Linked DNA regions of Caenorhabditis elegans. The protein of the gene in region 1 purifies or fractionates together with the protein of each later gene. This does not show direct contact. Each region holds a gene or a part of one and is shown on either strand. Other genes may lie near its edges.

Region 1 (4,732 bases):
GTTCTGCAGACTTCACCAATTTACAGGTTTTCCGCCAAAATCAAAAACCTACCGAGACCCAACGTTTTGTGGCGGGGCGTTTTTGCACCTTGATTTCAAAAGGGGCATTTTTTGCGTCCCCAATAATCAGCATGTTTGAAAACCAAAACGATTAATTGCGCAATGGTCATTTAGACTTTTTTCAAATTTTCAGGTGTGTCTCTCCTCGAGAACAATGTATCAAATCCGAGTTGTGTTGTATGAGATGCAAAACGACGAACTGATATACCTGAAGGAAACGAAATTCGACGAAATGATATTCATCACTTGCACTGAATATCGTGGACAAGTCAATCGTGAATTGAAGAAGAGTATGAATCGTTTCTCAAGAAAAAGAAAGTATGAAATCAGTGGAACAAAGTGCCAGCGTTCGAAACGTCCAGCAAAACTTCCTGTCGAATCTCTAGATGAGAAGGAACTAAAAAATGCTGAAAAGGGAATCATGAGTTTGCTTGAATCATCACCTTCGTCACCATCGTACCTTTATCAATATCAATACAATTCTCCACAATCAATACCATCTTCTATTTATGACTCTCTCTACCCATCGTCTCCAGAAGAATATCAGATGGTTCATACTTTTCCACAAACAGACCAATTATCTCCTAGTTTTCAAACTTCGCCCACAGTCCATTATGATTTTTATAATCAGCAATATTATGACAATTCATTTCATGAAAACTATTTCCAGTCATACAATCGGTTATAACTTTCGATTTATGCTTATGTCTAGATTTATCCGGTTTCAAATTACTAACCTGTTTTTCTTTTTTATCACAACTAACAAGCTCACGTTTTATCATTCTTGAAATTTTTTCAATAAATAATGAAAATAAAATCAAAAGTGTAGAATTTGTTCTTAAAGGCGCATGAATTCATTCCAATGGGTCTCGTCGGGAGAAAAAGTTTATGGTAGCGCGTCTTGGTGCTCGGATTTTTTAATTATTTTTTTTCCATTTTAAAAATATTTTATGCTCTATGTTTGGTTATGGAAGCGACCACCGAAAAAGCCACATTCTTCAAAAATTTCTGTCAAATCTCTGGGGGAGAAATAAAATTTAAAAATCGGTTGTCTTATTCTGAAGATTATTTACGAAGAATCAAAGATGTCGATCAGTAAAACAAATCGAAAGAGAAACAAAAACAAAACTGGTATTCAAAATTCGTTGAATGAGATTTTTGACGCGAATTTAGCGAGACACTGTCTCGATTCTTTCTCAGATGACGTCGATTGACCCTGCTTCTTTTGTTTTGTTGCTATGCAGATCGTATGTCCTATGCAATAGCACCACACAATATGGGCGAAGATCAATGACACTCGTCCCACTCTTCTTTTTTCCTTCTTCAAATAGGCGGAGCATCTTTTCTCTATTTTTCCCCCGAATGTTGCCTCTATTTCTCTCTTTCTCTAAATATCTATTTGCCAGTCACCTCCTCCTCCTCCTCCATGAAACGCTATCTTTTGCTTGCAGTTTCATCGGTCTCGCCCACCGATGATGGTTGCGCGTTGTCCTGTAAACAGTTTTGTGTTGGGCTCCTCTAGTTTTGAATAGTTATGGCGCCCGCGTCCCCAGGACGAGCTTTTCGTGGCCTAGAAGCGTTTGCCTACTCGCGGGCGGTGCCACATTTTTTTTAGGAAAAAAGGTTTTGATGCCTCTGCCAATTTTTTTTGATTTAAATATTTTTAAACGAGCTATAACTTAAATAATTTCAAACTGCCGCTGAAAATTATTAAAGGCGCATGGATTTCGTGACGAGACCTCCTGGCATTTTCCTTACTTTTCGATTCCGCCCGGATCTTTTCCTCCTTTTTGCACTTTGGCTTCTTATGTAAAATCTCTTATTTGTTTAAATTTTAATTACAAAATATTTTATTTTCAGGTAATGTTGAGCACTCTTTCCAGAGGCGCCCGCTCGGTCGCTGTCCGAAGCTATTCGGCCGCTACTCTCGATGCCCACTCCCAGGTGCTCGACGAGCAGAAGCCAATGGAGGAGCAGGTCAACCCATCTTTCTACAAGATGGTCGACTTTTACTTCAACAAGGGAGCCGAGGTCATCGCTCCAAAACTCGCCGAGGAGCTCAAGTCCAACTCTTTGAGCCAAAAGGATAAGAAGAATCTCGTGTCCGGAATTCTTGGAGCTATCAAGCCAGTTAACAAGGTAAGAATTTTGAGTCTCATTAATTTATCATATTTTATTTTCTTCAGGTCCTTTACATCACCTTCCCAATCCGTCGTGACAATGGAGAGTTCGAGGTTATTGAGGCCTGGCGCGCACAGCATTCTGAGCACAGAACTCCAACCAAGGGAGGTATCCGTTATTCCCTCGATGTGTGCGAAGATGAGGTCAAAGCTTTGTCTGCTCTTATGACTTACAAGTGCGCTGTTGTCGATGTTCCATTCGGAGGAGCTAAGGGAGGAGTCAAGATTGATCCAAAGCAATACACTGATTATGAAATTGAGAAGATCACCCGCCGTATCGCTATCGAATTCGCAAAGAAGGGATTCCTCGGCCCCGGAGTTGATGTCCCAGCCCCAGATATGGGAACCGGAGAGCGTGAAATGGGATGGATCGCTGATACCTACGCCCAAACCATTGGACATTTGGACAGAGTGAGTATAAATTTTTTGTGAGCATGTGAATAATTTTGTTTGCAGGATGCTTCGGCTTGTATCACAGGAAAGCCAATTGTCAGTGGAGGAATTCACGGACGTGTTTCCGCCACCGGACGTGGAGTGTGGAAGGGACTCGAGGTGTTCACCAACGATGCTGATTACATGAAGATGGTCGGTCTTGACACCGGACTCGCTGGAAAGACTGCTATCATCCAAGGATTCGGAAACGTCGGACTTCACACCCACAGATACCTCCACCGTGCTGGATCAAAGGTCATCGGAATCCAGGAGTACGATTGCGCCGTCTACAACCCAGATGGTATTCATCCAAAGGAGCTCGAAGATTGGAAGGACGCCAATGGAACTATCAAGAACTTCCCAGGAGCCAAGAACTTCGACCCATTCACTGAGCTTATGTACGAGAAGTGCGATATCTTCGTTCCAGCTGCTTGCGAAAAGTCGATCCACAAGGAAAATGCTAGCCGCATTCAAGCTAAGATCATCGCCGAGGCTGCCAACGGACCAACTACCCCAGCTGCTGACAGAATTCTTCTTGCTCGTGGAGATTGCCTCATCATCCCAGACATGTACGTCAACTCTGGTGGAGTTACTGTTTCCTACTTCGAGTGGTTGAAGAATCTTAACCATGTTTCCTACGGACGTCTTACATTCAAATATGACGAGGAAGCCAACAAGATGCTTTTGGGTAAGTAAATTTTCGAAATTTGAATTCCTAGACTTGCGTAGAGTAACACAATGAAACGATTTGCAAGTTTTCATCTGTGATAAAATTTTGTTTAGAAACTAACAAGGGCTAGATACTCTTACGCTTGTCACACTTTTCCGTTTATTTTATGAGGAGGGAGAGGAGGCCACTCAACCGTTGTCGTGAAAATGAGTACGTATGCACTCTAGGAAACAAATTGTAAATCAATTCTTTCTGTTTAAAAATGTTTGAATTTTCAGCCTCGGTCCAAGAATCTCTCTCCAAGGCCGTCGGAAAGGATTGCCCAGTTGAACCAAATGCTGCTTTCGCTGCCAAGATCGCTGGAGCTTCCGAGAAAGACATCGTTCACTCTGGACTCGAGTACACAATGCAACGCTCCGGAGAAGCCATCATCCGCACCGCTCACAAGTACAACCTTGGACTTGATATCCGTACTGCTGCCTATGCCAACTCCATCGAGAAGGTCTACAACACCTACAGAACCGCTGGATTCACCTTCACATAAGTACCCACTTCTCACTCATCTCATGGCTCTTGTATCCTCTTTTATGACATCAAATGGCTCCAAGCCAGGTTTAAATAGCTTCGTGTAACCCTTTAGTGCCTTTTCCATAGTTTTCTGTTTCGAAACTATCTAGGTTAACTAAAGTCTAGCTCTGATCTTTTCTGCCTGGTTCGTTCTCACTTTAGTATAATTAAATATTTTATTGGTTCCCCACCCCTTTTCATCCCCACACATAATTTTTTCGTTGTTTGTTGGTTCGGGACGGTTTCGAGACGGAGACCATTCTTCAAAAAAAAATCTCAAAAATAATAAAAAGTTTATTTCCTTAAACACTTCTACATGGTCATTGCAATTTTCCAATGATCATTGGAAAAGAAATTTCAGGGAGCATTAAAAACTTTATCAGACTTGTGTCTTTCTATTTACTATAATTTAGAATTTTCGATAACATATCACTTTCACATTGTGTGCCACTATCAGCTTCAAATTTGGGAATCACCTCCACAATTGTTGCAAAATTTTCGAATTGTCTAAACGAAGTTGATGCTTGGCCGTTTCCATATCAGTTGATCTTTTCCGGCAAAACCTTCGTCGTCAAACTGATGCAATTCCTGGAGAGAATGAAAAGAAATGTTGAAAGATTAAATTGGGTGATCGTTTGAACGAAGCTAATCTGATTGGACAAAAAGAAGAAATGATAAAAGATGATAAAGACAGTTTGGAGGGAATCCCCCATTTCGGTTCGAAGTGTACGCAAATGTTTGAGGGAAATATTTAGAATTGGAGATTTTTTTGAATTTTTGCAGTTACAGAGAAATTTTGGAATGTGCATATCGTGTAGTTTCA
Region 2 (3,869 bases), on another chromosome or scaffold:
TTGAAAAAATGGCCCGTTTTCGGTGTCAAAACTACTGTACCTGGTCTCGAAGCGAAGATTTTTTATGCCAAATATTGTGCGCCTTTAAAGAGTACTGTAATTTCCAAATTTCATTTCTGCAGAATTTTCCTTAATTTGCCATAGTTTTTATGATAAAAAGTAAAAAAAAAAGTTTAAAATGTCAGAAATTCTATCAGAACTGGAGAGAAAATATGAAAATTGTTTTTTTTTTTCAAATTTTTTTACAGTTTTTCTCCAGTTATGTTGAAATTTATAATATTTTACAGTTTTCTTGTATTTTTTAATTTTTTATTTGAGTTTATCTTTTTTTTTTAATCGATAATTTATCGAAAAACTACAAAAAATCAATAAAAATTCCGCAACAACGAAAGTTTAAAACTACAGTACTCTTTAAAGGCGCACATCCTTCTGCAACTAAAAAAATTGTCGCTTCGATACCAGCTACCGTATTTTTAGCGAAAAAATCGCATTTTTCACGATTATTCTTCGATTTTGTCTGAAAAATTGGTAAAAACTGAAAAGTTAGGCTCCTGGACTTTTTTATTTAGAATTTTTCTGAAAAAAAAAAGTTTTTGCCGAATTTTATGCCAAATATTGTAAAATTTTAAAACGTTTTAAATTACTACCTAATAAAACTGAAAAAATAAAAAAAAAAGAGAACTCTACGAAAGGAAAATCAAAGAAAAAACTAATTTTTTGGGTTTTTAGAATATTTGATTTTTTTAAAACAATTTCAGTGTAAAAGTAAGAAATAGACATTGAAATTTACAAAAAAACGGCATTTTTTTTCGAAAAAAAAAAGTGATTTTGCACTTTATAAGATGAAGATAGTAACAAAAACAGACAACAATAAAATGAAAAAACTGCAAAAAATCAATTAAATAATTCCCCAAATCTCCTCAAGTCCACTGGTCACTTTGGCACAAGTCAACGCTGCACTCAATGGATAATTGCTGATCTTGGTCTCAGAATCGTTGTAATCGACGACGATCTTTCCACGAGCAATTCCACCGATAATAAGGACCAGAGGCTCGTCGGTTTCCGGTGCAACAAGCTTATTAGCCATTGTTAGCTCAGGTACATTGAACGACATGAGCATCTTACGGGATCCCACTGGAAGATGGTTCGACACTGGATTCTTCACTACTGACATCAGCTTTTGAGTGGTTTCGGCGGCTCGAATGGAGAGTTTGTGCAGGAGTTGGACTGAAAATATGGAAAATAGAAAATAGGGGGATTTTGCATAAAAATACCTAATTGCAAGAAAAGTCACAAAAAATCCAATAAAAAGTATTTTAAAGCATGTTTTTGAAAATTGGATTTTTGTGCTCTTTTTTGTGAATTTTTTTTTGATTTTCAGACTATTTTGGGGTATTTTGAATCCGGGTATTTTTAAAAGGAAAAGGGTATTTTTAAAAATTTATGTTTAAATTTGATAAAAAATAATTTTTAAAAAACTCGAAAAATTGTCTTTTTTCTTATTTTACATACAAAAACACTTCAAAATATATTTTTTTCAATTTCCAATAAACCAAAAACTCACCCATAAGTCCACAGAATCGATCAAAAGTTCTTGGAATTCTGCACTGTGGTGAGACATCAACGAGCACATTCTTGCTCGTTCTAAAGAAGACACGAAGCTTTCCGGCTCTGTTAAGCGGACTATCAAGTAGATTCAACAAGCATTGATGTAGGATATCTGGCCGATAATCAGCCGGATCTTTTTTCTGTTTTCTCAGAAAATTCGCGTGTTTATCACTGCTCAAAATTGCGTATTCTCCACCGACTTTTGCAGTTTCAAGACTACATCCTTCCAGTACAACGTACAAAATCTTCTTGTCCTCCAATTGATTATCCGTCTTCATGCGCTTCGCATTTGGCGGTGCAACTGTATCGTACTCGTGGGACATCTGAAATTCGGAGAAATTAATTTTTTTTGTCATAAAGTAATTTTTTTAGGACCAAAAATCGAATTTTCAATAATTCTGATGAAAAAAAAATTATTTTCTGAATAATATTGTGATTTTTTATAGTTTAGCACAAATTTTAAATAAAAGCTGTGGGAACAACGATAGGTCGTTCTGTAAAATTTTCGAAAAAATGCCGCTTTTTTGGAAATAAAATTGAGTTTTTCGACTTTTGGAAAAATTTCTAATTTTCCATATCTATCAATATAGGAATATACATAATTTTTGATAAATTAAAAGTTTTCACTTCTTTTTTCGTTTTTCGATATTTTTTCGTCAAAAACACTGAAAAATTTCTGCGGAGAAAATGTAAGTCGAAAATCAAAAAACTCAAAAACTCAAAAACGAAAAAATTTGTAAATTTGAACGGTTTTTCAAAAATTTCAGTGAGTTCCTTTTTTTGTCGAATTTCCCCTAAAACATGAAAATTTAACTAAATATTTTATTTCGGGATTTTTGAATTAACGAAAAATGGTTTTATTTTATTTTTTCGATTTTTGAAGCTCCTGTAAAGATTTTTATAAAACAAGTTCAAAAAATAATATGATGGTTTTTAAACCGAAAATAATTCTCACAGAAAAAAAAACTCAACAAAAATATAAATATCGAGATCAATCTTCATTGCAAATAGTACAAAAAATATCAAAATTACTTCAAAATAGTCATAAAAAAGTCGGAAACAACTCGCGGGAGCTGCAACTTCGAGATCGAGTCCTCCACAATTTTATCATTGATATGAAGCCAAACTTTTCTGAAAAAAAAGAGGATTTGAGGTGAATTTTTCAGCTGAAAAAAAAACCCACCGAAACGAGGTATTTGTCACATTTGTGCTCTCGTCTGCCTTCAAAATTCCCATTTTAACGAGATGATCCAATTCTCGGAATACGTAGACATCACTGCTCACGTTCAGTGGAGGATAGTGTTGATTAACGAGTTTTTTGAATTCTGAAATTACGGAGAAAATAGATTTTTAAAAAATAAGCTTAAAATTTTCATGTTTTTTCTCATCAATATAATCGAAAATTAGATTTAAAAAAAATCATATTTTATGGTTAATTTTCTGAACATTTTCTTAATTTTTCGGAAATTCAAAAAATCGAAAAATTTTTCGTTTTTCAATTTTTAAAAATTCGAAAAATCGAAAATTCCGAGATAAATTTTAAAAAATACCTAGAAAAACGTTTCGATACGAAGTTTTTGGCGCCAAAAGTGGTCCATCTGACTCTTTATTCTGCACAAGTCTCCAGACACAAAGAAAAACGCATTGTGCTCGAACTGTTTGATCTGAAAATTTGAAAAATTTTTAGAATTTCACTGGAATTATTAAATTTTTGAGCCGAAAAAACAGTATATAATTAGTTTTTTCTAGATTTTACCGGATTTTTTTAATTTTTCAGAAAAATTTCAAAAGCTGTAAAGATTAAAATAGGTTTTGATTGAAAATCACGATTTTTGCATGATTTTTTACATTTTAAAGTTGTTTAAAATTTGAAATTTGTTCCGAAAAAAAAAGGTAAAAAATTACTTTATCAGCTCAATTTCCAGATTTGAAATCAGAATTTTTAATTCTTTGCGGAATTTCAAAAAGTGAACTTGAATTGTTCATTTTTTGTTTTCAAAATTAGAAAATCGTGGGTTTTTTCTGCCTTTTTCAAAGTTTTAGCAGAATTTCTACCTTTTAAAATCAACAATTTTCCATTATACGAGGGAGAAGTCGTCTCGACAATTTTACGAATCTGTTTGCTGATTTCCTCGGGTTTCCACGTGTCTTCTACGTCACAATAGTAACCGAAAAGCATCAGGAATTGCGCGGCCAATTGTTTCAGAACGACGTAGTGACTTGTCTGAGAATATGGACTTTAATGGGGGTTGAAAAGCCGA
Region 3 (7,795 bases), on another chromosome or scaffold:
TTGCTTCTAAAATTTTTTTGAAATGCTGCAGCTTCATTGCGTCCACCGAGATTTCACCGTTGAAGAGTGATTTCCCTCGATTTTTATTAGTTTTTCGTCGATTTTTCTATTTCAAAATGATAACAATTATAAAGTAGACTGAACCGAAAGTGGAGAAACAAAAATTATCGGAAACCGTTCGGTGGAAATGCATAACGAACTGTTTGAAAATAACAACTGAATTTTCGGATTTTTTAAAATTAAATTTTTATTTGTTTTTCTCATAACCTGCAATGATAACGTTTATAGAGCAAACTTTTCTCGTCATTTTAAGATATAATTCGTCTATGTACCTGTTGAAAGAACTCAGATCGAACTCTTTTTGTGAAATCCAGTTATAATTTTTCGTTAAAAAGAGGAGCTAAAAGTTATTAATCTGAATTAAAAAGAGTCGAGACAGTGAATCTAATTAATATTTGGTATTTTATTAGAGCAATACACGTATTAAACATTTTATCATGGGTTTTTCGGCTCCAATTTTGTTGGCACAATATTTTATTTCTTGCCACATACTACTGTACGTTTGGGCTCAAATAAGCCATACAAAGTGCTGAACTATGAAGAATAATGTTTCAACATTACATTACTTACAAAAAATCAGATTGAAAGCAATGTTTTCAGTCTTTCTTGGCTTTTTTCAACATAACTTAGTATTACCATCTTATTCTGTGCCTCAACTTAATCGTTACAAGTTTGAATTCTTGAGAAAACTGTATTTAAAACCTATTAAGGCTTTTCAAAACTCAAATATATAAAAACGGTATCTTCTTAAGCTTTCGTTTTTAGTTTCCAATACTTTCCTTTCAGTAAGGCTTGAAATTTTTGGAAGCTTCACTGCTAGTTTCCCACTTCACGATTTTCCAATTTCAACTTGTTAAAACTGGCAAGATCACAGAAAAAGCCACACTTCCATGATAAAATCACAGAAAATTAAAGAAATTGGGCTGAATGTCTCAGATTTAGTGATTCTGGCACATGATCATTTCTCAAAACTTCAATTCAAAAATAAAATTGTTTGTGACCAAACCTTCATTTCTTATTTGACTTTCAGGCTATATATTTAATTATATTTCTTAATTGTCTTCAAATTTTTTTGAGATTTCCCCACTTTATGTAGTGAAAACAAAGATAAACTTCTTATTTTCTCAATTTTTCAATAAATTTAACCTTTTGCAGCAAGGTATTCTCTTTTTAACTGAGAAAACTATTTTAAAAATTCATTTCATCATCTTTCCTTTGCTTTCTCAAGAAAATTTCATAGAAGAAATGAATTTTTTCCGCAAAAATAATTCAATATTCAGAAGTGCGCCAGCACGCGAAAGGCGCATCGGTGAAACGCGCAAGCAATCTCCCTCCCCCTTCGTTTCCACCCGAGGAGACCGTGTTTCCTAAAAAAAAAATTTCAAAATCGCTGAAACTTAAATTTTTTTGGCTCTCGGCAATTTTTTTTGTTTTTTTTTAACCGTTTTGTATGTGCAAAATTGATATTTAATTTGTTAAAAATAGAAAATTCGGAAAAAAACTTGATTTTCGTTTTTCAATCGGTGGTTTTTCGGTTTTTCAGAAATCTATTAAAAAATTATTTTTCGGAAAATTGCTTTTAAAAAATTTCAAGCAGTTTTATACAAGAAAAAGTGAACATTTTATCATTGGCAATTTTGTGAAAATTTAAAATTTAATTTTAAATTTTTCAAAACTAAATTTTCAAAAAAAAATCATTTTTATTTGAACAAAATTTTTAATTTATATTATAAAATTCGATTTTGCCAGTTTTTTTTTTAAATATTGAGCGTTTTTAAGCAAATTTTTTTAAAGAGAAAACCAAAAAAAAAAACCAATTTTTTGCTCAAAAAAACAAATTTTATAAATTTACCTTCTCCTCAAAGCATAACATTTCCGTGTGTGGCTTGGAAATCGGGAATCCATTTGTCGCGAATTTCTCACTTTTCTCTGTAACTGCAAGCAGAAGAGCACTTCGAGCAAATGCGACCAGCTCGGGGACGTATCTGAAATTTATTTTATTGAAAACAATTTTCAACTTTCGGATTTTTCGTAAAAATGGAGTTCGGTTTTTTTTTTAATTTCAAAATTTTGATACGCTTCGATAATTCGGTTTTTTAAATTTTTTTAAAAGAGACGAGAGATTTTTTAAAAATAGAGAAATGACCGGAAGATTTTTGAAAAATTGCAATTTTTTCTAAAAAATTAATTTAAAAAAAAACGGGATTTTTGTATTTTTTCAATGTTTTCTGATCTAAAAATTGCCAAAACAAAATTTATATCAATTTTTGAAAAATTCGCTTTTTTTTAACATTAAAATGGAAAATTAATGCAATTATTTGTTAAAAAATGAACTTCAGAAAAAAAAATCAAGTTATATTTTAAAAAATTGCTTTTTTGAATTTTTATAGTAATCTTTTTTCGATATCGAAAAAAATAGATTTTTTTAAGCGACAATTCTGAATTTTAAATTTTTTGAGTTAGCTTTTGAAAATAATATTTTTGGTGGTTTTGGCTTTTTTTTTCGTTACTTTTCCTATTTTATATCAAAGCTTTCAGTATTTTTTTCAAAATTTGCCTATTTAAATGTTCGTTTCCAAGTATTACCTCTTGGATTCAGACACATATTCAACAATAGCATTAGCCAATTGAATTTGTTTAGCCAACGCATTCAAATTGGCACATTTCGCCGAGCAAAGTGCTTCAGTTGCCAAAAAAAGAGCCGGAACCACTACAGGATGCCAGGAATCGGCAACTGGGAAGAGGCCGGAAACAAGACGAATTGCAGAGATTAATCCAAATGACACTGGGCTACTCTTCTGTTTATCCTGGCGGCCTTTCCAGTGTTGACGGATTAGAGCACGCACACATCGGACTCCGTATTGAATGTCGAACTGCAAAAAACAATTTGAAATTTTTTTCAATTGTTGAATTTTTTGCGTTTTTTAATCTGAATTTTTAATATTATTTTCTTTATTTTCAGGATTTTCCATATTTTTTTTCTGAAATTTTAATGATTTTTTATATAATGTTTCTTTAAAAATATTTCCATGATCGTTTCCTATTTTTAATGATTTTTTTCTTAAATTTTCATGATTTTCCTGGTTTTTCTTTTTTTTTTCGAGACTGATTTTCAAAAAAAAAAGGTTTTAATTTCACATGATTTTTCTCAAAAAATCGGGGCTTTTTTGCAATTTTTGGGTCAAACATTCGGGTATTTTTTTTAATTTTTTGGCCAAAGTTTTTGGAATTTATTGCAATTTTTAGGTCAAAAAATTCGGGGATTTTAAAACATTTTTTGGTAAAAAATTCGGGACTTTTTTGCAATTTTTGGGTCTAAAAATCGAGACTTTTTTGCAATTTTTCGGTCAAAAATTCGGGGATTTTAAAACATTTTTTTGTAAAAAAACCGGCTTTTTTGCAATTTTTAGGTCAAAAATTCGGGGATTTTAAAACATTTTTTGGTAAAAAATTCGGGACTTTTTTGCAATTTTTGGGTCTAAAAATCGAGACTTTTTTGCAATTTTTAGGTCAAAAATTCGGGGATTATAAAACATTTTTTGGTAAAAATATCGGGACTTTTTTGCAATTTTTGGGTCTAAATATCGAAACTTTTTTGCAATTTTTAGGTAAAAAATTCGGGGATTTTAAAACATTTTTTGGTAAAAAATCGGGACTTTTTTGCAATTTTTGGGGTATAAAAATCGGGAATTTTTCAAAATTTTAGGTCAAAAATTCTCGAATTTTTTCAATTTTCAGATTAAAAAGTGCGGTAATTTTTCAGCTTTTCCATCCAATCGCTACCTTCATCAACGCATGCATAGTTTCCTGCGCTAAATTCATTTCCTTCACACTTTCCGCTGTCAATTCCTCCTTCGACATATCATCAAACCATCTTAAACACAAGAGGAAAAGCTTATTCAGACGCTTCTTATTTCCTTCTTTAAGGCTCGGATGATGACATTTCACGAGTCGTTCCAGCACTAAATCCATCGATTCCGAGTGTTTTTCCAGAAGAGCACAGAATTTTTTATAGTTTTTCGGCATTTCGAATACGAATGGCAGAGTTTCAGCGGGTTCTGGAGCAGATTTTTTCGCTTTTTTGACGACTTTTTGGGCTTCCTGAGCTTCCTCATCATCGGAATCTTCTTCCAGCTCATCCTCATCTTCCAGTAGATCATCCAGATCCTCTTCCTCATCTTCTAGATCCTCGTCATCGTCAGATTCATCAGAACCATCCAGATTTTTCTTTAAAATCCTGGATTTTTCCACCGTATCCTCATCGATCAGGCCACCTTCATCGTCAAATTTGACCTCAAATCTCGAATTTTTCGCCTGAACTTTTCTGGCGTCGGCCTTCGATCCAGCATCGATATCAACGTCGGCATCGGCTGATAAATGAGATTTTGCGTTGAAAAATGCATTATTTTTCGAGATACGGGCGGCCTCGAGAGTTTCCAGACGTTCTTTTTCTTTCAGAGCTTCTTCTTCTTCGGATAGCTTACGATCTGCTGGGGTGGCACGAGCGTCGGCTTCGGTTTTCAAGGTGATTGTCTGGAAAAATAATAATTTTTGGATAAAAAATGGAATAAAACCTATTTTTCTTGATTTTTTAGGCGAAGAAACAAAAAAAAAGCCTTTTTCTATCATTTTTTAAACAAAAAAATTGGCTTTTTCTTAATTTTTTTGTCGAAAAATAGTTATTTTAAATTGTTTTATTTTGTAAAAAAACGACTTTTTTAAAGTTATTTTTCGGCGAAAAATTTATTTTTTTAAATTAAAAATTGCCTTTTTCGTCATTTTTGTCAAAAGAAAAACCGACTTTTCTCGAATTTTTGTCAAAAAAATTGACTTTTTAATGATTTTTCGTCAAAAAAATTCTCAGTTCAGCTCAATTTCTTTCGCGATAAGAAGTTAAATGTTTTATTTTTCACTTCAAATTGCACAAATTCCGAAATAATTTTACAGTGTTTTCTCTGATTACAAAGCTAAAACTTGGATTTCTTCAACTTTTACAGCAAAATTAATGAAAATTTCCAATTTCCATAGCAAAAATGGTTAAAAATTAGCATTTTCAGATCAAGTTTTTTGGGTTTTAGGTTTTCCACTAAAAAATTGTGAAAAAAATCGATTTTCACTCTAAATTTATAATTATCTTTTATCTTAAAAATTTGGAGAAAACCGGGATGTTTCCCGTACCAATTTGTCGTAATCATCTTTTTCCAGCGGCTGGCGCCCGGTCGGCCTAAATGAAGCCTTCATTTTGCCCATCAAAGCCTGATACTTGGAATCCAACGACTCTGTCATCAGCTCGAGCTCATCCTTCTGCTGTTGCTTCTCGTGACGCGCCAGCTTCGTTTTCGCAATCAAATTCGAAATCATATCCTCTCGGCTGATTTTTTCGCGGACGTGCTCCTCGGCGGTCTTCTCTCCACCACCGAAATGAGCCACTTTTACCATATTTGAGCCCAAATTTCCCGGCTCTTCATCGTCATCCGAGTCGGAAATCATCGATTTGTCGTATTTTTCAATGTCCGAGAGCGCTTTTCCCTTGTGAGTAAGTACTGAAATTTACTTTATTAAAATTTTTCTCAATTTATTTCGGAATAAACCTTCTTCCTCCTCATCTCCATCATCTGTCAAGTTGAATTTCGATGCTCTTTTATAATTTTTGACTCTTTCCTCTGTGAATCTCATCGCGCCCTTCTCCTCCTCGCTTTTTCCGTCCTTTTCGCCGAGCCGTTTGTCGACAATTTTGCTAATCTTATTTTTCCGGTCATATTCTACGCCTAGCGTCTGTTCACGTTGCTCGTGAGCTCGTTTTCGTGACGCAGTCGGTGCTCCAACTTGTGCGCCCTTTTTCCGGCCGAGAATCTGCGAGAAAATCGATTTTTTCTTCAAAACTCTGAAAAACTCACGTCATGCTTGGATTTGTTGAATTTTAGCTCGAATGGATTGGTTTTTCGTTGCTTTTGCTTTTTATCAACACCCATGTTTGCTGAAAATGCGAAAAATTAGGGGGGAAACAGAGAAAAAACCAGGGGTATCCAGGAAAATTTAAGAATAAAAATTGGGAAGTTTGCGCGTCAAGTCGTGCGCATTGTACGCAACGACGCCTTTATTTTGCAAAGTTTTGAAAATTGAAATGTTTTAATTTATTTTTTTATGCACGTTTTGCTGAAAAAGTGGAAAATTTGAAGAAAATCAAGGGAAAACTAGGAAAAATCAGTAAAAATCAGTGAAAACAGAGAACATAATGAAAAAAATTTGCGCGTCGGGTCGGGTGCGCTGTACGCAAACACTTCACACTTTTGAAATTTTTTTTTTATTTTTGCGAATTTTTGCGAGTTTATTCCCCGCGGGCCTGCGAAAAATTGCGTAAAACTTTAATATTTTGACCGGAAATTTTAGATTTCAAGTTTTAAGCTAAACTATCTTTGTCCTTTCACCTAATTCTTCCCTATTTCACCCCCAAAACAGCTATTTTTCCCTATTTTCAGATGGAGCAAATCGGAGCAGCTCTCCAGCAGACTCTGGAGCCGGATGCTGCGATTCGCAAGCGTGGAGAAGAAGCGCTCCGCTCGCTGCAATCAAATCCAGGCTATATCATTCAAATTCTTCAACTGGTGGTCAACGAACAGCAACAAATTGCTCCGCAGATCCGAATCGCCGCGGCTGTCGCTTTGAAAAATTTTGTGAAGAGAAATTGGGTTGGAAAATTTGAATAAATGCGTGAATTTTATATTTAAATTGTTTCAGGGCCCGGCACCAGAGGTAGAAATGGGCCAGGAAGACGAGGAGCAGTTCAGAAGCATGCTTCTCGAAGCGATGTTCAATACAAAATCAAATGTTCAGGAAATCCTGTCCAATGCTCTGTATCTCATCGCTCAGAGAGATTTTCCCGAAAAATGGCCAGATTTGGTTCCATATTTGTCGAAATTCCTGAACGGAGCGGATCTCAATCACCTGGTGGCCTCGCTGGCGTCGATGGAGCAGATTTTCCGCAAATTCCGATTCGAATCCAAGTCAGCAGAGCTTTGGAAAGAGCTGAAGAAGTGTCTACTGAGCGTGAGTTGCGTTTTGGCTCAAAATTTGGCTAATTTCAGCTAAAATCCCCAATTTTGGCCACTTTTTTACGTCGCAGCCGTCGGAAGTTGAATTTTTGTCCGCTTTGACCCTAAAAAATGACCAAAATTAGACATTTAAGCTAGCTAAAGCTGGCCTTGTTTTCCGAAAAATCGTGAAAAATTCAACATTTTATGATTTTTTAGTCAAAAATTTTAACTAAAGCAAAAATGAGGAATTTTTGGCGAAAATTGATAATTTTCCTATAAAAATGGACAAATTTTCAAAATTTTTGAGCCAAAAAATTGAAGAAATCTGAATGTCAGTCTCGAATTTGGACCGAAAAACTGTTTTCTCCCCAGATTTTTCAGTTACAAATAAAAAGAACCGATTTTTCAGACCCAAGAGCCTCTAACTCTGTTGCTACGGAACATGATGGAGGTGGGACAGCGGAAGGATCAACTCGGAGCCGACGAGATCGCCCAATGGCTCCGAGTCTTACTTCTCATTGCAAAAGTCTACCATTCTCTGTGCTCACAGGAGATTCCGGAATACTTCGAGGATCATCTCAAGGACTGGATGCCACACTTCTTGCATCTCGTGCAAATCGACGCGCCGACGCAGACCTCCAACTCGGGAGAACCTACAACTCTGGACGAGCTTAAGCACGAGATCTGTGAGATCTTCACGC
Region 4 (5,042 bases), 640 kb from region 1:
CTGACGCGAAAAACTCTTCATATTTGTTGTGACGTGGCCAAACGTAAAATGCGTTGAATGCGGCAGTCGAGACGACAGCGACAGCAAGTGAAACGTAAATTCCACGTTTTCCATATGATTGGAGCATGTTCCGGGTAGCGGAAGCAGCAACCATGGCTGAAAAAAAGAATGAGTAATACGATGTGCAGCTAGCAAGAAAAAGACGTAAAACAAGAAAGACGTTTTTTTTTAAATCAAAGATATTGATACTTTAAAACATTTGTGCAAAAATGATGGGAAATCCGATGGAAAATGATAGAAATCCGAAGAAAATATGATTGAACTTGAACAAGAATTGAACAATATGATGATGCGCGACGCAACACGCGTCGCACGTCCACTACTGTAGAAGTAGAGTGTATGCAGAGTGTTTGCGGACTGGCGCACCGTAACCGGCTTGTCGAAAAAATGATTATTTTTTGAATACAGATTATTTAAAATAAGCCTTTTTACTGGCTTATCTTATCGTTCTACACTTCTTTTAACTGAAAACGTATTTATTTTCATTCATTCAATAGAACATTAACAAATGAAAAAAGAGCAGGAATAATATTGATGTGGAACACAGGAAAACATATGAACTAGTAGCTGCTGAATTTTTGAAGTTATTTCTACAAACATTTGAAAGAGAATGAATAGAGGAAGATCTGGTATCATTTATAGCTTTGGAGCAACCCATTTGTATGTTCCAGTGAAGATGAAACCGTACTTTTTCATCAATTCGTCACCTTCAGTTGGACCACGACTGAAAAATTGGATTACTGTATTTAATTTTAAAAAAAAAGAAACACAACCAACCTTCCAAATTTATATTGAACCGGTTGAACTTTCTTCTTTTTAAGCTCTTCGAGAACTGGCGTCAAAATACGCCAAGCGTATTCAAGCTCATCAGTTCGAACGAAATTAATTTGAGATCCCATGAATACTTCGAGAAATAGGCGTTCATAAGCATCAGGAAGACGGACTTCTTTGAATCTGAAATTATCACAATGAAATTTTTTTTGAAGAGAAATTTCAAAAACTAACCTATTATTATAAGTCAAATCAAGTTCAGTTTCTTCAACACCGAATCCCATTCCAGGTTTCTTGGTCATCAGTTTCATGTAAACTGCCTCATTTGGTTGCACTCTCATCACTAATTCGGATCGCTTTAATTCACCAGACGGATAGATATCTCCACTGACTTCTTTGAATTGTATACGAACTTCTGCTTTCTTCTCGTTGAGAGCTGCAATAATATTGAAATTTAAAAATTCGGTTTTTTTTTGTATATTCCCTACCTTTTCCACAACGCAAGAAGAATGGAACACCCTCCCAACGTTCATTATTGATGTGAACAACAGCAAGAGCATACGTTGGAGTAGTCGAATCGGCTGGAACTGATTTGTCATCTTTGTATCCTTGTGATGCTTCTGGGTCTAAAATTAATGTATTTAAAAATCAAAACTTTTATAAAATTGTAATTTTTGAAAAACTCACGATCAAATTCAGGACTGGCAATGTATTGTCCAACTACTACATCCTTTAATTCTACAACTTTAGCAGCTTTCAACACTTTGACCTTTTCATCACGAATATCTTCAGCATTCAAACTTGCTGGTTTCTCCATGGCGACTAAAGTTAGAATTTGCATCAAATGATTCTGCATAACATCACGGATAATTCCAGCTGTATCAAAATATCCAGCACGGCCACCAGTTCCAAAATCTTCTTTAAATGAGATCATAACTGATGCAATGTGATCGCGGTTCCAAGATGGAGCGAGAATTCGGTTTCCAAATCTGAAAGTTCAAAATAAAATTATAAATCTCTTCAAATACTTTGAAAAAACATTCTTACCGCATAACCATCAAATTCTGAACCATTTCTTTTCCGAGATAATGATCAATACGGTAGATTTGATCTTCTTTAAAAAGTTTCGCCAAATGAGTTGAAAGTTCACAAGATGATTTCAAATCATGTCCAAATGGTTTTTCTATGATAACACGTGTCCATGAATCACCATGATCCATACAATTCTTCTTTAATTCCGTAGAAACCACGTTGAAAACTGATGGAGGAAGAGCGAGGTAGTAGAGACGATTGACGGCTTCTATAAATTTGCTTAGATTGAGTGAAATTTAATTCTAAACCTACGATTATTGCTTTCTTTTTGGAAATCATCAATTGAAGATTGAAGGCGTTGGAATCCTTCAGAAGTGTCGTATTGGCCCTGAAAAAATGTCAATGGTGCTTTTTATGTTCAAAGTTTCTAGAAAAAAGCTTCGATTCAAATTTTTATTACCCAGTAACAAGATTTTGTGCGAAAAATACGGTAACCGGTCTCGACCCCACAATTTTTGTTGAATGCAAAAAAGTGCGCGCCTTTAAAGAGTACTGTAGTTTCAAGTTTTTGTTGGTTTTCGTAGTTTTCCTACCTGATTTGTAAAAAAAATGTATGTGTTGCAATTATTTTTTTTCAGTTTTAAAACAATTTTTTTAAAATCTGAAATCGACAAAAGCTTGAAGCTACAGTACTGTTTAAAGGTGATACGTTTTCGCATTTAACACAAATTTGTGGTGTCGAGACCGAGCACTGTATTTTTGGAACAAAGTTTCACGCCTATTTATTAGCAGATGTAGATTTACCTGAACGTATGAGCACTTCTTGATGAAGTCATCAAAAGCACATTTCTCATTTTCTCGAACTTTACAGTTTTTCTCAAAAGATTCACGAAGCTTGAAAACTGTCAGATCGGAACGGGCATATCCAATAAATTTGATGTTGACTGGCAAAAGGTTGTCACGGAACAACCACCACAGTGTTGGGTATATTTTCTTTTTTGCGAGATCTCCCTGAAAAAATGTTAAATAATTAATAATCGATATATATGGAATAGATGTCATACCGATGCTCCAAATATCACGAAAACGTACGGAGTCTCAAATTTGAGATCTCTTTGCATTGATTCACGAAGACACTCGACGAGATCCTTCGAAATGGGATCGGACACTGAATGACGTTTGCATGCCATTTCTGTAAATTTATAAACTAGATTTTGAAGTGAGAATGACGAACATTGATTCACAAAAATTACTCGTGTTGAGAGGTAAATAGTAGAAACTACAAGTTTCAAAGTAAACCATCTAGATACACATAAATGTTATTTAAAAGTGAGATTATTGTTTCATTTATACAACGAAAAATCAAAAAGAAATACGTTAATTGATATATTGATGTACTTCATAATGATTCTGCGCAATTCTTTTTTACTGGCAGAGTAATAAACTGCTTACTTTCAGCTAGTTACATTTAATGGAATAATGTTAATTTCTAGCACTAAAAAATGTAATTTTTCCTTTCGAATCATATACCTAGTAGCGAACCGCAGTCTACAATATAAATGAATTGGAACAACTGGAACAACACTATAAATCGGTCACTTTTTACTCCACTTCCATTTTTTTCACAGGGCAGCGAGAGAAGAAAGAAACAGTAAGAGAAAAGTGGATGCGCCAGTCTCTTTACAAACATGAAAATATTTACTGAAATCTTCTCGGGTCACAAAAAATGATGACTGAATGAAATTGTGTAGTGTGTGCGAGTGGTAACCATGACAAATAATGTTCTCTGGGCGACATTGATCGACAATGAAAAGAAACAATGTATTTCTCTAGGAAACATAAAAACTCGAGTAACTTGACTCTGGAGAAGAGACGAAACTTTGTAACTCTAGATTTAATCTATGGTTCTTGACTTTTAGTTGACCGACTAGGATATTCTGGAACACATTTTTTTTGGATTTTATCTGGAAGATGAATTCTTCGAAGACTTAGTCTATCAGAGAAAAAACTAATTTCGTTTTCAGAAAACAAATCAAAAATCACTGAACTTGAAAGTTTATCAATTTGATTAACGTCTGATCAGTTTACCAAATTAACAAGAAGACAAAGAAAAAGAAGAATGAAAACTGTTCTTTGCAACTCCTAAATAACTATGCATTTTCAACCATAAATTCTGCCAATCGGGTTTCATTTGGAAAACGGAGCACACGAATGGCCACATTTATTTGTGTCTCTGCCGATCATTTTTTTAGAAGGTGAAAAGTGCAAACAAAATATGAGGAGAAAAAAACGGAAAATGCTGACAAAACTTCGGAGGTGACAAAGAAAGAAACGGATAAAAAAGGTGAGAAAAGAAAGGGCAGACAAATTAAATGGACAGAAAGACAATCGGGAAAGAATGTTGCCAATTTGGGAATATAATTAATTTTCAAGTATTTTTTTAAAGAGAAATTGAATATTTTCTGTTAAATTCAAATATTTAGAATGCTACATTCTAGCCAGTCTATTGTGGAAATCATGATAAGATTGTCTGAAAGATAATGGATTTTTCCAAAATGCTATTATATTACGTGGGCGAGCGTCTCCTCTATAAATAAAGAGCAATGGGAAACAAAACATGTAAACTAAAATGAACACCAAACACGAAAAAACCTTCCTCTTCCCGTCCACTATATTGATATTTAGGATCTGGTGTGACCCACAAGTGGGTGGTGCCATTCGTGATAAGGAAAATCGGTCGAAAAAATTCATCAGCAAAATACGCGGAAACAGTGAACAGTGAGCACACGTTGTGAAAAAGGTGAGAAAAGCAATTTTTAAATTGAGATAATTTTTATATATGAAAGCTTCAACGGAAAAGATACAAAATCGAGCAAAATAAGAAATTAGAATTTATAGATTATTCTTCAGCGTCCAAATTGATCTGATCTCCGAATTTGGCGTACAAAACCTTCTTGATTTGCTCCATGTCCGCTGAGATTGCATCCAACTCGGAGGTTTTCTCAGACAAAACCTTCTCTGCTGTTGTCTTCTTTCCTTCCAAATGCTCATTCAGACTATCCTGAAAACCAATCACTACTTTCGTGTAAACCAAACGTTAATTCTCAATTCAAATTAAAAAAAAAACTGCTCACCCCATTGAAATGAACGAAGCAGCTTCCAATTCTGCATGGAATTGA

What was found.
Region 2: the proteins of gdh-1 (region 1) and emg-1 fractionate together in Caenorhabditis elegans (co-fractionation; one large-scale study listed by BioGRID). This does not show direct contact.
Region 3: the proteins of gdh-1 (region 1) and nol-14 fractionate together in Caenorhabditis elegans (co-fractionation; one large-scale study listed by BioGRID). This does not show direct contact.
Region 4: the proteins of gdh-1 (region 1) and gspd-1 fractionate together in Caenorhabditis elegans (co-fractionation; one large-scale study listed by BioGRID). This does not show direct contact.

Annotation. Positions count from the first base shown.
Region 1 is NC_003282.8:11,951,329-11,956,060, forward strand, and holds gdh-1 (Glutamate dehydrogenase), read left to right. Parts: upstream 1-1,920; 5' UTR 1,921-1,923; coding exon 1,924-2,199; intron 2,200-2,246; coding exon 2,247-2,651; intron 2,652-2,696; coding exon 2,697-3,360; intron 3,361-3,620; coding exon 3,621-3,886; 3' UTR 3,887-4,213; downstream 4,214-4,732. Other genes in the region: tbx-36 (Putative T-box protein 36), read left to right, coding at 194-748.
Region 2 is NC_003281.10:10,647,581-10,651,449, reverse strand, and holds emg-1 (Ribosomal RNA small subunit methyltransferase nep-1), read right to left. Parts: upstream 1,932-3,869; coding exon 1,565-1,931; intron 1,228-1,564; coding exon 899-1,227; 3' UTR 542-898; downstream 1-541. Other genes in the region: orc-4 (ORC (Origin Recognition Complex) subunit), read right to left, coding at 2,637-2,739, 2,792-2,933, 3,159-3,272, 3,664-3,832.
Region 3 is NC_003279.8:322,097-329,891, reverse strand, and holds the start of nol-14 (Nucleolar protein 14), read right to left. Parts: upstream 6,038-7,795; 5' UTR 6,033-6,037; coding exon 5,958-6,032; intron 5,914-5,957; coding exon 5,652-5,913; intron 5,604-5,651; coding exon 5,239-5,603; intron 4,594-5,238; coding exon 3,844-4,593; intron 2,934-3,843; coding exon 2,647-2,933; intron 2,046-2,646; coding exon 1,913-2,045; intron 1-1,912. Other genes in the region: xpo-2 (Exportin-2), read left to right, coding at 6,540-6,749, 6,799-7,107, 7,504-7,795.
Region 4 is NC_003282.8:11,315,432-11,320,473, reverse strand, and holds gspd-1 (Glucose-6-phosphate 1-dehydrogenase), read right to left. Parts: upstream 3,056-5,042; 5' UTR 3,054-3,055; coding exon 2,928-3,053; intron 2,875-2,927; coding exon 2,668-2,874; intron 2,252-2,667; coding exon 2,176-2,251; intron 2,132-2,175; coding exon 1,879-2,131; intron 1,821-1,878; coding exon 1,519-1,820; intron 1,458-1,518; coding exon 1,320-1,457; intron 1,268-1,319; coding exon 1,066-1,267; intron 1,015-1,065; coding exon 838-1,014; intron 785-837; coding exon 697-784; 3' UTR 523-696; downstream 1-522. Other genes in the region: B0035.18 (Mitochondrial cytochrome c oxidase subunit VIc/VIIs domain-containing protein), read right to left, coding at 6-154; pfd-4 (putative prefoldin subunit 4), read right to left, coding at 4,763-4,924, 4,998-5,042. UniProt on the Caenorhabditis elegans protein: Cytosolic glucose-6-phosphate dehydrogenase that catalyzes the first and rate-limiting step of the oxidative branch within the pentose phosphate pathway/shunt, an alternative route to glycolysis for the dissimilation of carbohydrates and a major source of reducing power and metabolic intermediates for fatty acid and nucleic acid biosynthetic processes.